Linked DNA regions of Caenorhabditis elegans. The protein of the gene in region 1 interacts with the protein of each later gene in a pairwise test. Each region holds a gene or a part of one and is shown in the gene's direction. Other genes may lie near its edges.

Region 1 (4,892 bases):
CGAAGTCAATGACGTGGTACTAATGTCGGTTTATTTTGTCGAATTTTTTTCGGATGAGAGGCATGACTCATAGGAGCAGAGCCAGAATTTTTCCAAAAAAAAACTTCTCCTCGGGGAGTACACGGATCAGAGAGCTTGAAAATCAAGTTTTATACTTTTATTAAATCAATTAATTACCAGCGTGAACATTCAAAATTTTGATTTTAAAATATTCCATAGAATTCAAATTTCTCGTGGCAAATGTGGAACCTATTCGACATTTGAATTTATTTCCGAATATTTTTCTCCGAAAAATCAATCGATAAATGGATATCAAAGTGATTCGCGAGAAGTTGACCCTGACAACGTCGATTACGGTGGGTTCCGCGCGAAATTTCTATTCGGAAAAAGTTCAAGTGATTTTTTTTCAGAGCGAATCGGTCGCCGAATACGAGCACGATGTCGACGAATGTTGTCGCCTTCTGGAGCACAAGCTCGAGCTGGAAATGGAGAAGAAGCTGCAACTGAGCAATCGGATCGATGTCGTTCAGTCGCAGGTCACCGAACTTTGGGATCGCGTGGATAAGGCGAGACGTCGCGAATCGGACATCTCGTGTCGCGTCACCGCCTGGGCTCAGCATTTGTCGGAGATGATGAATGAGGTATTACATAGTCGTCAAAAAATTATGTGGGTCTCACCACGCTGTGAACGAGGTACTGTAACTCGTGTCGATTTACGGGCACTAACCTATAAAAAGAACCACTAAATTTTGAGAATGGGTATTGCGCAACGTATCTGACGCGCAAAATATCCCGTAGCGAAAACTACAGTAATTCGTTAAATGACTACTGTAGCGCTGGTCCGATTCTGAAAATCAAAAAAAACTTCCGAATTTTCCGAGAAATGTTTCCGAAAATAAAAAAAAGCCCGTAAATCGACATCCGTGCTACAGTAGTCATTTAAAGAATTACTGTAGTTTTCGCTACGAGATACTTTGCCCGTCAGATATGTTGCATAATACGCATTCTCAGCATTTAGTGTTTTTGTAATAGCGACCCGTGAATTATCACAATGAAAAGTAACCTTTTGTCCGCGTGACGAGACCATGCGCGTAAGATATGGCGAAAACTAATATTATATGCAATTTTTTGTTCAGGTGAAGCTGAAAAAGGCTAAGATGGGCACAACGATGGAAATATCCGCGACACTTTCTGCTGAAATTCAAGAAAGTCTGGATTTACTCGCGGAAAAGCGAGTGATTGTTCAGAGAATGCGGGAGGAAATCGACTATCGTCGCCACTTGCACAAGGTTTTTATTAATAAATCTGAAAATGTTTAAAGCAATATTGAAACATTTTCAGCAACAACTCAAAGATTTGAAGCTGGATTGTGACAGAGAGGAGGAGAAATGCGAATATTGGAATGATAAAAGCGCTGAAATCGAAAAAGTTGTGGAAATGCTCAAAGAGCAACGCAAATCGCTTGGCGAACGTGTTGAAGAGGAGAAACGAATGGAGCAGGAGCAGAAGAAGATGCTGGAAGAGCTTGAAATGTTGTTGAAGAAAACTGGGAAGAAACGGCAGATTTTAGATGAAAACGCCAATTTGGTGGCTTCTTTCTCCAGTTTGACCGAGGAAAGCTCTTAATTTTTATGTTTTTTTCTTCAAAAGCATTTTTTTTGTGTGTTTTTTCCTCAAAATAAATCATTTTTAATTGTTTTAAAACATGTTTTTGAAATTAATCGTCAATAACGAAAGTTGCGTCAGCTACCACTGCTAGCGCGTTTCTCGTGTTGCTTGCGCTTTTCTCGATGGCAGCGAATTTTAAATTTAAATATTTAAATTTTCGTTTTTCCTGCCTAAATTTACTTGTTTTTCACCATTTTTCTTGTGAGTTTATCAACTTTTCAGGTAAAAAATGAACAGAAATCGCAAAGGACACGATTTAGAAAACATTGAGCATCGATTCACCGATGAGGACTTGGCAGGTCTGAAGGAGCAAAAGCTTTTTAATGGTAAATGGATTATTTTGGAGAAAAAGGAGAAACGAGGAGCCGCGTATTGTTATCTTGTGTGTGACAAGCCGTGCAAGAAATTTGTGAGTTATTAAAAAAAATTAAATTTAAAAAAAAAAAAAGTAAAAAAAAAATTATTATTCGAATTTTCAGGGGATTCTTTACTTGGAAATCGGCGAGGACAACGTGACAACCATCGCGAATCAAGTAGATTTCTATCATCAGCAATCGTCACTTGGCTATTCTCATCGATTTTCCGCTTTAATTGATGCCGGAATCATAAATAATCACGTCTTCTTCATGGTCGTCAGAATCCGTGCAGGACCCACTTTACATGATCTTTTAAAATGTCTGAGCAGTGATAAAATGTCCGTAACTACTGCCAGTTTCCTCGCTGTCGACATGATTTCTGCTATCGAAATTCTGTCAGCTTCCGGATGGGTTTTGAGAAATTTCGACTCGAAACAATGGATGTTGGATATCAAAACGAGGCAGTTTTATTTGGCCGATGCTACTGATGTACGGACTATGTTTCCGCTTTTAAAATAACAATTTCCACTAAAAAATTGCAAGAAAAATCGCGATTTTCAGCAACTTTTCACCTAGAAAACGCATTTTTTCGGAATTACACGAAAAAACCAATTTTCTTAAAAATTCACCTAAAAAATCTCGATTTCCAGCATTTTTTCACCTGAAAAGCGTATTTTCTTGGAATTGTACAAAAATCGCCGATTTTTAGCAATGTTTTCACATAAAAAACTTAATTTTTTGGATTTATACAACAAGAAACCCCGATTTTCAGTAATTTTCCTGAAATTCGCCCGAAAAATCTAAATTTTCAGCAATTTTCACCGAAAAAGCGTATTTTCTTCGTATTATACAAAAATCTGTGATTTTTAGCAATGTTTTCACATAAAAAACGTATTTTCTCGGTAAATCCACAAAAAACCAATTTTCAGTTATTTTTCTTGAAATTTGCCCGAAAAATCTCAATTTCCAGCAATTTTTACCTAATGGGGTTATTCAAGTAGTGTCGGAAAATTAAAAAGTGTAGAAAAATTACGTCACAACCTTATTCAAGTAGATAAAAACATGTATTTAAATACATTTGTGACGTCACAAATGTATTTAAATACATTTTGCTACATTACTTGAATAACCCCATAAAAATTTGAAATTTTTGGGAAAAATGAATAAAAGTCCCAGAATCGTCTGAAAATCAACATTGTTGGTTTCAAAAACTCCGCAAAACAGCGAGTTTCTTTAGAAAAATTATTAAAAACATATACTTCGTCAAAAAAAAACAATTTCTACTGAAAAAAACTAAAAATCGCAATTTTCAGTCGAAATTCGAGTTTATTTTTTCGATTTTATTTTTTTATTAATCAAATTTTTGATTTCTTGGAAGAAATTTCGGTTTCAGACTCTTAAAATAAACAATTTATGCATTTAAAACCCCAGATTCTCGTTAAAAATCGATTTTTCTCATACTAAAATTCCAAAAATTTGCAGATCACCGTCTCCTCTGACAAACGTCACCGTGCCATCGACGAGATTCATCTCAGAACAGCCGAATCTATAGATTTGCATTGGAAAACCGGAGATTTGATCTACGCGCCGCGCTCTTTTGTCGATCGAGATCAATCTCATCGAATGACTGAATTGGATATGATGGAAATGATGCTCTATGTGCTCTACGATTGGACACATGGAAAATTGCCGTGGAAATCGTCGAAATCCAGAGAAAGAATTATGGAAATGAAGGAATTGTTCATTGAAAATTTGCAAAAAGAGCCGGAAGAAACGAATAAAGTCGAGCAGCAAATTGATGTTGATGTTTGGTTCGATATCGCGTATGGATTTTGGAAAATTTAGCAAAAAAATGAGATTTTCATGGAAATTCATCCAAAAAATCGGGATTTTCAGTGATTTTTCTTCCTTTAAGAATGATTTTTGCTAATTACATTTTTAAAAAATCACGATTTTTAGCTATTTTTCATTTAAAAAATCATTTTCTTGCTAATTATTCAAAAAATTCAAATTTTCAGTGATTTTTCACCAAAAAAAGTAGAAAAAAGTAGATTTCTTGCAATTTACACAAAAAATCTCGATTGATAGCAATTTTCACCTAAACACAAAACAAATAATTATCCCAAAAATCCAGAATTTTAGCATTTTTCCTAAATACTAAAAATCATTTTTCTTGCAATTTTTATAAAAAATCGTCTTCTAATTTTTTTCACTCAAAAAATAAAATATTTTCCTGAAATTATCCCGAAAAGCCCCGATTTTCAGCTATTTTTCATCGAAAAAAAATCTAATTTTTATGAAAATTCACCCAAAAAACCCCGATTTTCAGCGATTTTTCACAAAAAAAGAATACAATTTTCTTCAAAATAACCCGAAAGGTTTCAATTTTCAGCATTTTTTTATGGAAAAAAACTAATTCACCCTTTTTTTTTTCACGAAAAATCAATTTTTTTAGAAATTCACCCAAAAATCCAGATTTTCAGCATTTGTTCTTCTAAAAAATATTTTTCTTGCAATTTACATAAAAAATCACTTTTTTTAAAAGCAATTTTTCACTTAAAAAAATAAAAATTTATTGTAAACCAGCCGTGGACCGCACCTTCGGCGCAGCCCCCGACTTCTGGGGCTGAAAACTAATTTTTCTGAAACTACCGTAATCATACAGTACTCCTACCGTACCACTATTGTACCACTACAGTACCCCGACTATATCCCTACACTAAGCCCAACTCACTATCCTCCAGAAGCCAAAACGTCACAGAATACAAAGACTACATAGACTACAAACTATGGACAAACGGAATAAGCGCTTTATATATAGTAAATGATTACCTGAAATATTTAGATTTTAAGCAATTTTTCCGAAAA
Region 2 (4,906 bases), on another chromosome or scaffold:
GTTTTTTCTTAATAAAACTGATAAATAAATATTTTTTGCAGATGCTAAAACAATTTCCAAGTGAAAAAATTATGTATTCATAGGGCAAGCAGCGGTGAAAGTGGTCAATGCAATATGATGGGTTACGGGAATACAAAACCTAAACTATTTCTGAAACATGATACATATGCTGTTTAGATGCTAAAAGTACCTGATTATCATAACGAGACCGCTGAAAAAGTTTTGAGATTTCCAAAATTCAACTTTTTTGGTGAAAAAGTCGAGATTTTCGCACAAAAAGTTGAATTTTGAAAATCTCAAAACTTTTTCAGCGGTCTCGTTATGAAAATCAGGTAATTTCAGCATCTAAGCATCATATGTATCATGTTTCAGAAAAAGTTTGGGTTTTTTATTCCCGTAACCCATCATATTGCATTGACCACTTTCACCGCTGCTTGCCCACTGAATACATAATTTTTTTACTTGGAAATTGTTTTAGAATCTGCAAAAAGTATTTATTCATCAGTTTTAATAAGAAAACACGAGAAAAATCTGTGAAAAAAAAAGAAAACAGGCGGAAAACAAAGCAAGATAAATGGCCGCTGAAACTTGTCGGCCCCTCGGCCATGGCCTAGAAACCACTTTTCCTCGTCCCTCGTGAGGAAAAAGTTGCAGTGAATCAGTTGAGAACTCTGCCGCATTTTTTGTAGATCAACGTAGATCAGTCCAAAATGAGACACTCTTACACCACATATTCGCATGGTTAAGAACGTGCTGACGTCACTTTTTTTTGGGCAAAAAATTTCCGCATTTTTGTAGATCAAACCGTAATGGGACAGCCTGGCACCACGTGGAATCTCAAATTTTCTGAAAAATTTTTTTGGCGGGAATTAAAATATTTTGAGGACATCCGGTTACACAGCCAACGGGGTCAAAATCACTGTATATTACTCTATATCTCCTCTTTTCTCGTACTTTCTCAAATTCTTTCTCGAAAATTTCCCCCTATTTTCTCCTCGTGCATCATCAGAAAAATACAGAGAGCGACGATCCCCCCCCCCCCCCCCCATCAACGTTCCCAACAATTTATAAAATGTCTGTATCTCTGTATCTCTCAATCTCTCACTGTTTTTCTCTATGCCTCTCTAATATCTCTCTCCATGACAACCGTCTAACCATCTAAACTCTCTACTGTCTCTTACTGTCTGCGCCTCTCTCTTTCTCAGTGTTTCTTCTCTGTATCTCTCCGTCTCTCTAACGCACTTTCTCTATGTTTCTCTATTTTTCTCTATTTTTATGATTTTCTCCCCAATGAATTGTTGTTTTTTTAGGAGATTTTTGCAAAGAATTTCAGATATTACTGTATATTTTGGGATTTTTTTTCTAGAGAAATGCGAAAAATTGTGTGTTTAAATGTTTTTTGTACCCTAAATGTGTCCTAAATTCGGAAAAAAAATTCCAAAATTTACCGGTTTTTCGTGGAAAATGTGGATGGGAATTTGGGTTTTTGAAGGTTTTCTTTTTTTTTCGAAAAAGAAATCCAAAATTTTTATTTTTTTTTTGTGACTTTTTCACAAAAATTTGGAGGAAAGGGAGTTTTTTTTTTCAGAATTTTTTGAAATTCTAATAGAATTTTTGAAAACCGAAATTTTTTTGTTCAAAATTTGGGAAAATCTGTATAAAATTTTCTAATTTTTCAGAATTTTTAGCAGAAAAATGTTAAAAATTTCTAAATGTTTTTGAGGAAAAATTGATAAAAATTCGGATTTTCGAATATTTTTCTAAATTTCTAAAAAAAAATTTTCTTTAAATTTCGTTAAAAATCGATAAAAATTGCGATTTTTTTAAAATTTTGTTCTCTGCCAGTATATCATTTTTCCACATTAAACTCCCCCATAACTCCAATATTTCCAGAAAAAAATGTCTGAAAATTCGACGCCAAACCTTCGAAGATCCAACCGAACAATGGTACCAACAACTCCATTTACCATTGAAAATACACCTGTAGGTAGAGGAAATTCTGGTGCTAGAAGTCATAAGGAGGTAAAATTTGAAAATTTGACAAATTAATACATTTTTGAAATTATGAAAAAAAAAAAAAAATTTTCCAGATTTTCAAAATTTTTTTAAATTTCTTCCAAAATTTCAGCCAAGCGCAAAACGTAAAAAACCTACCAGTACCCCTACCGTAAGATGCGGTACCGTACCCCAAGAGCCATCCACTTCAGCAGCTACAGTAACCCAAAAACCAGCGGGATCCACCATGGCCACTGCAAACATCACGGAAACCAGGAGAATTGATATAAGCAGTTGTAGTGATCGGGTTAGTCAAAAAAAATCAATAAATTATCGATTTTTTGAAAAAAAAACATTGTAAAAATCGAAAAAAATTGTTTTTCAAGATTTCCAAAAACAAAATCTTAAAAATTCGGAAAACATTTTTTTAAACCTAACACGTGGTGTCATAGTGTCCCATTTCGGTTTGATCTACGTAGATCTACAAAAAAATGCGGGAGAAGAGACGCAGAGTTTTCAACTGATTTCGTATGGTTAAGAACGTGCTGACGTCACATATTTTTGGGGCAAAACATTCCCGCATTTTTTGTAGATCAATTCGTAATGGGACAGCCTGGCACCACGTGATCTAATAAATAAAAGTATTTGAAAAAACCTTCCAGACAGTTTTTTTTTTGAAAAAAAAATTTTTTCAGGAATTTTTTTCTAAAAAAAATCATTAAATTTCTTTAAAATTAAAAAAAAAAAAAAAAAACATTTTTTAACGTTCAAAATTCCGAGCTTTCCGAAATTATTTTTTTCAAATTTTTAAATAAATTTTAGTACAGTGCGTGCAACTTCTATAGCGCCCCCCTATTTTTTTGCGTTTCAGGCCATTCTAATTTTTTTCTTGAAAAACTGACAATGCCATTCGATTCCAAATGTCGAAAACCCCCTTTTCCAGAATTTTAATGAAAAAATCACGAAATCTGATGTAATTAGGTCAAAAAATCGTAAAAACAGCCGTGCAACTTCTATAGCGCCCCCTCAGAATTTTGAAAATTTTCCAACAAAACCCCATTTTTGGTCATTTCTAGAGACAACAAAATAATAAAACGGAGCCAATTTGATCCCGACATCCTACTGATTTACTGTCAGCAGAATATTATACGTAGAAACTCTTAGGATCCCGTAATTGTCCTGAAACTCTCCATTTTGCGTTAGAGGCCCGTTCTCGGCTCCCAGTGGTGGGATCGGCTCCAAAACTGACGAAAATGTTCTGATACACTCATGGACACATGTCTGAAAGATTTTTCACAAATTAACAGAGTTGTAGGTTGTGTGAAACTTGTATCAGATTGAACTATTCGCCCTTCAGTATCCAGAAGTGGACTGAAATCAATTAAAACAACAATATTTATTAACTGGATGAAGGATCAATACTTCGTGGGACCTCCCTTCTTGGCGATGACTTCGAAAACTCGATTGGACATTGAATTGACGAGATTCTTCATTTCGGCTGCGGAGATTTCTTTCCAAGCATCCTCAATACCAAGTTTTAGTGCAGCCACATTTGGATACTGTTTTCCATTAGCGTAGACAATTCTGACAAGCGATGCCCATAAGTTCTCGATTGGATTGAGATCCGGTGAACAAGCTGGCCACTTCAACAATTTGATCTTTTTGCTGTCGAGAAAAGCACGGGTTGAAGCGGCACTGTGAATACTCGCGTTGTCTTGTTGGAACATCCAGCCTTTCTTTGACGGATGTCGCATAAACTTGACAAGGTCTTGGTCCAAAACTTTCTGATAATCAACTGCATTCATCTTATGACTTGTAAATTGGATTGGCAGCTTTTTTTTCTCCGAAAACGCTGCCCACACCATTACCGATCCACCTCCAAAATTTCGCTTAGAAAAGATTAACGGATCCTTTCTCAGATCTCTCCAGTAGTATCGATTGCCATCTGGACCATCCAGGTTGAATTTCTTCTCGCCGGAGAAAACAATCTAAAAAACTCAACAGATTTTATCTAATTGTGAAATTGTTCAACATACCTTGGTCCATTCGGTTCCCATATTTTCTTTGGCAAAATCCAATCGCTTTATCATATGATTTGGAGTCATTGATGGAGCTTTCATCATTTTCTGGCGCGTGATCGATGGGTTTTTGTTGAGAGTATTGATAATGGTTCTTTTGGACGCTGTTAATTTCAGTTCCTTACGAATTTCGTTGGCTGATTTGAAAGAATTCGAAGCAATTTTATAGATGTTCCCTTCATCACGACTAGATAAAATTGTCTTCCGAGGAGCTCTCTTGGCTTGTCCATAACCAAGTGGATTGTTAAGGTAATTGTAAACACATTTGCGGGATCGGTTGATTTGACGAGCCATTTCATTTTTAGATACATTAAGACTTGCCATTACATCAAGCTTGGCTTGTTCTTCGACTGACAGCTGTGAACCTCGTGGCATTGCGAATAAAAGTAATGAACAGCATTTTTGGCATCCGATTGCCACTAATGGACACGTCACACGTTAAAAAAAAACAAATTTCAGCAATTGTTGAGTGTATCAGAACATTTTCGTCAGTTTTGGAGCCGATCCCACCACTGGGAGCCGAGAACGGGCCTCTAACGCAAAATGGAGAGTTTCAGGACTATTACGGGATCCTAAGAGTTTCTACGTATAATATTCTGCTGACAGTAAATCAGTAGGATGTCGGGATCAAATTGGCTCCGTTTTATTATTTTGTTGTCTCTAGAAATGACCAAAAATGGGGTTTTGTTGGAAAATTTTCAAAATTCTGAGGGGGCGCTATAGAAGTTGCACGGCTGTTTTTACGATTTTTTGACCTAATTACATCAGATTTCGTGATTTTTTCATTAAAATTCTGGAAAAGGGGTTTTCGACATTTGGAATCGAATGGCATT

The links.
Region 2: the proteins of prde-1 (region 1) and Y53G8AM.8 interact in a two-hybrid assay, tested with the Caenorhabditis elegans proteins (one large-scale study listed by BioGRID).

What each region holds. Positions count from the first base shown.
Region 1 is NC_003283.11:15,536,361-15,541,252, forward strand, and holds the start of prde-1 (piRNA biogenesis factor prde-1), read left to right. Parts: upstream 1-1,883; 5' UTR 1,884-1,897; coding exon 1,898-2,077; intron 2,078-2,147; coding exon 2,148-2,513; intron 2,514-3,506; coding exon 3,507-3,847; intron 3,848-4,892. Other genes in the region: F21A3.4 (Trichohyalin-like), read left to right, coding at 306-356, 411-641, 1,137-1,289, 1,342-1,626. UniProt on the Caenorhabditis elegans protein: Nuclear factor required for the production of piwi-interacting RNA (piRNA) precursors. Specifically required for piRNAs produced from loci associated with the Ruby motif. Promotes binding of the transcription factor snpc-4 at piRNA genomic clusters.
Region 2 is NC_003281.10:3,275,698-3,280,603, reverse strand, and holds the start of Y53G8AM.8 (HTH CENPB-type domain-containing protein), read left to right. Parts: upstream 1-1,893; 5' UTR 1,894-1,899; coding exon 1,900-2,022; intron 2,023-2,128; coding exon 2,129-2,302; intron 2,303-4,906.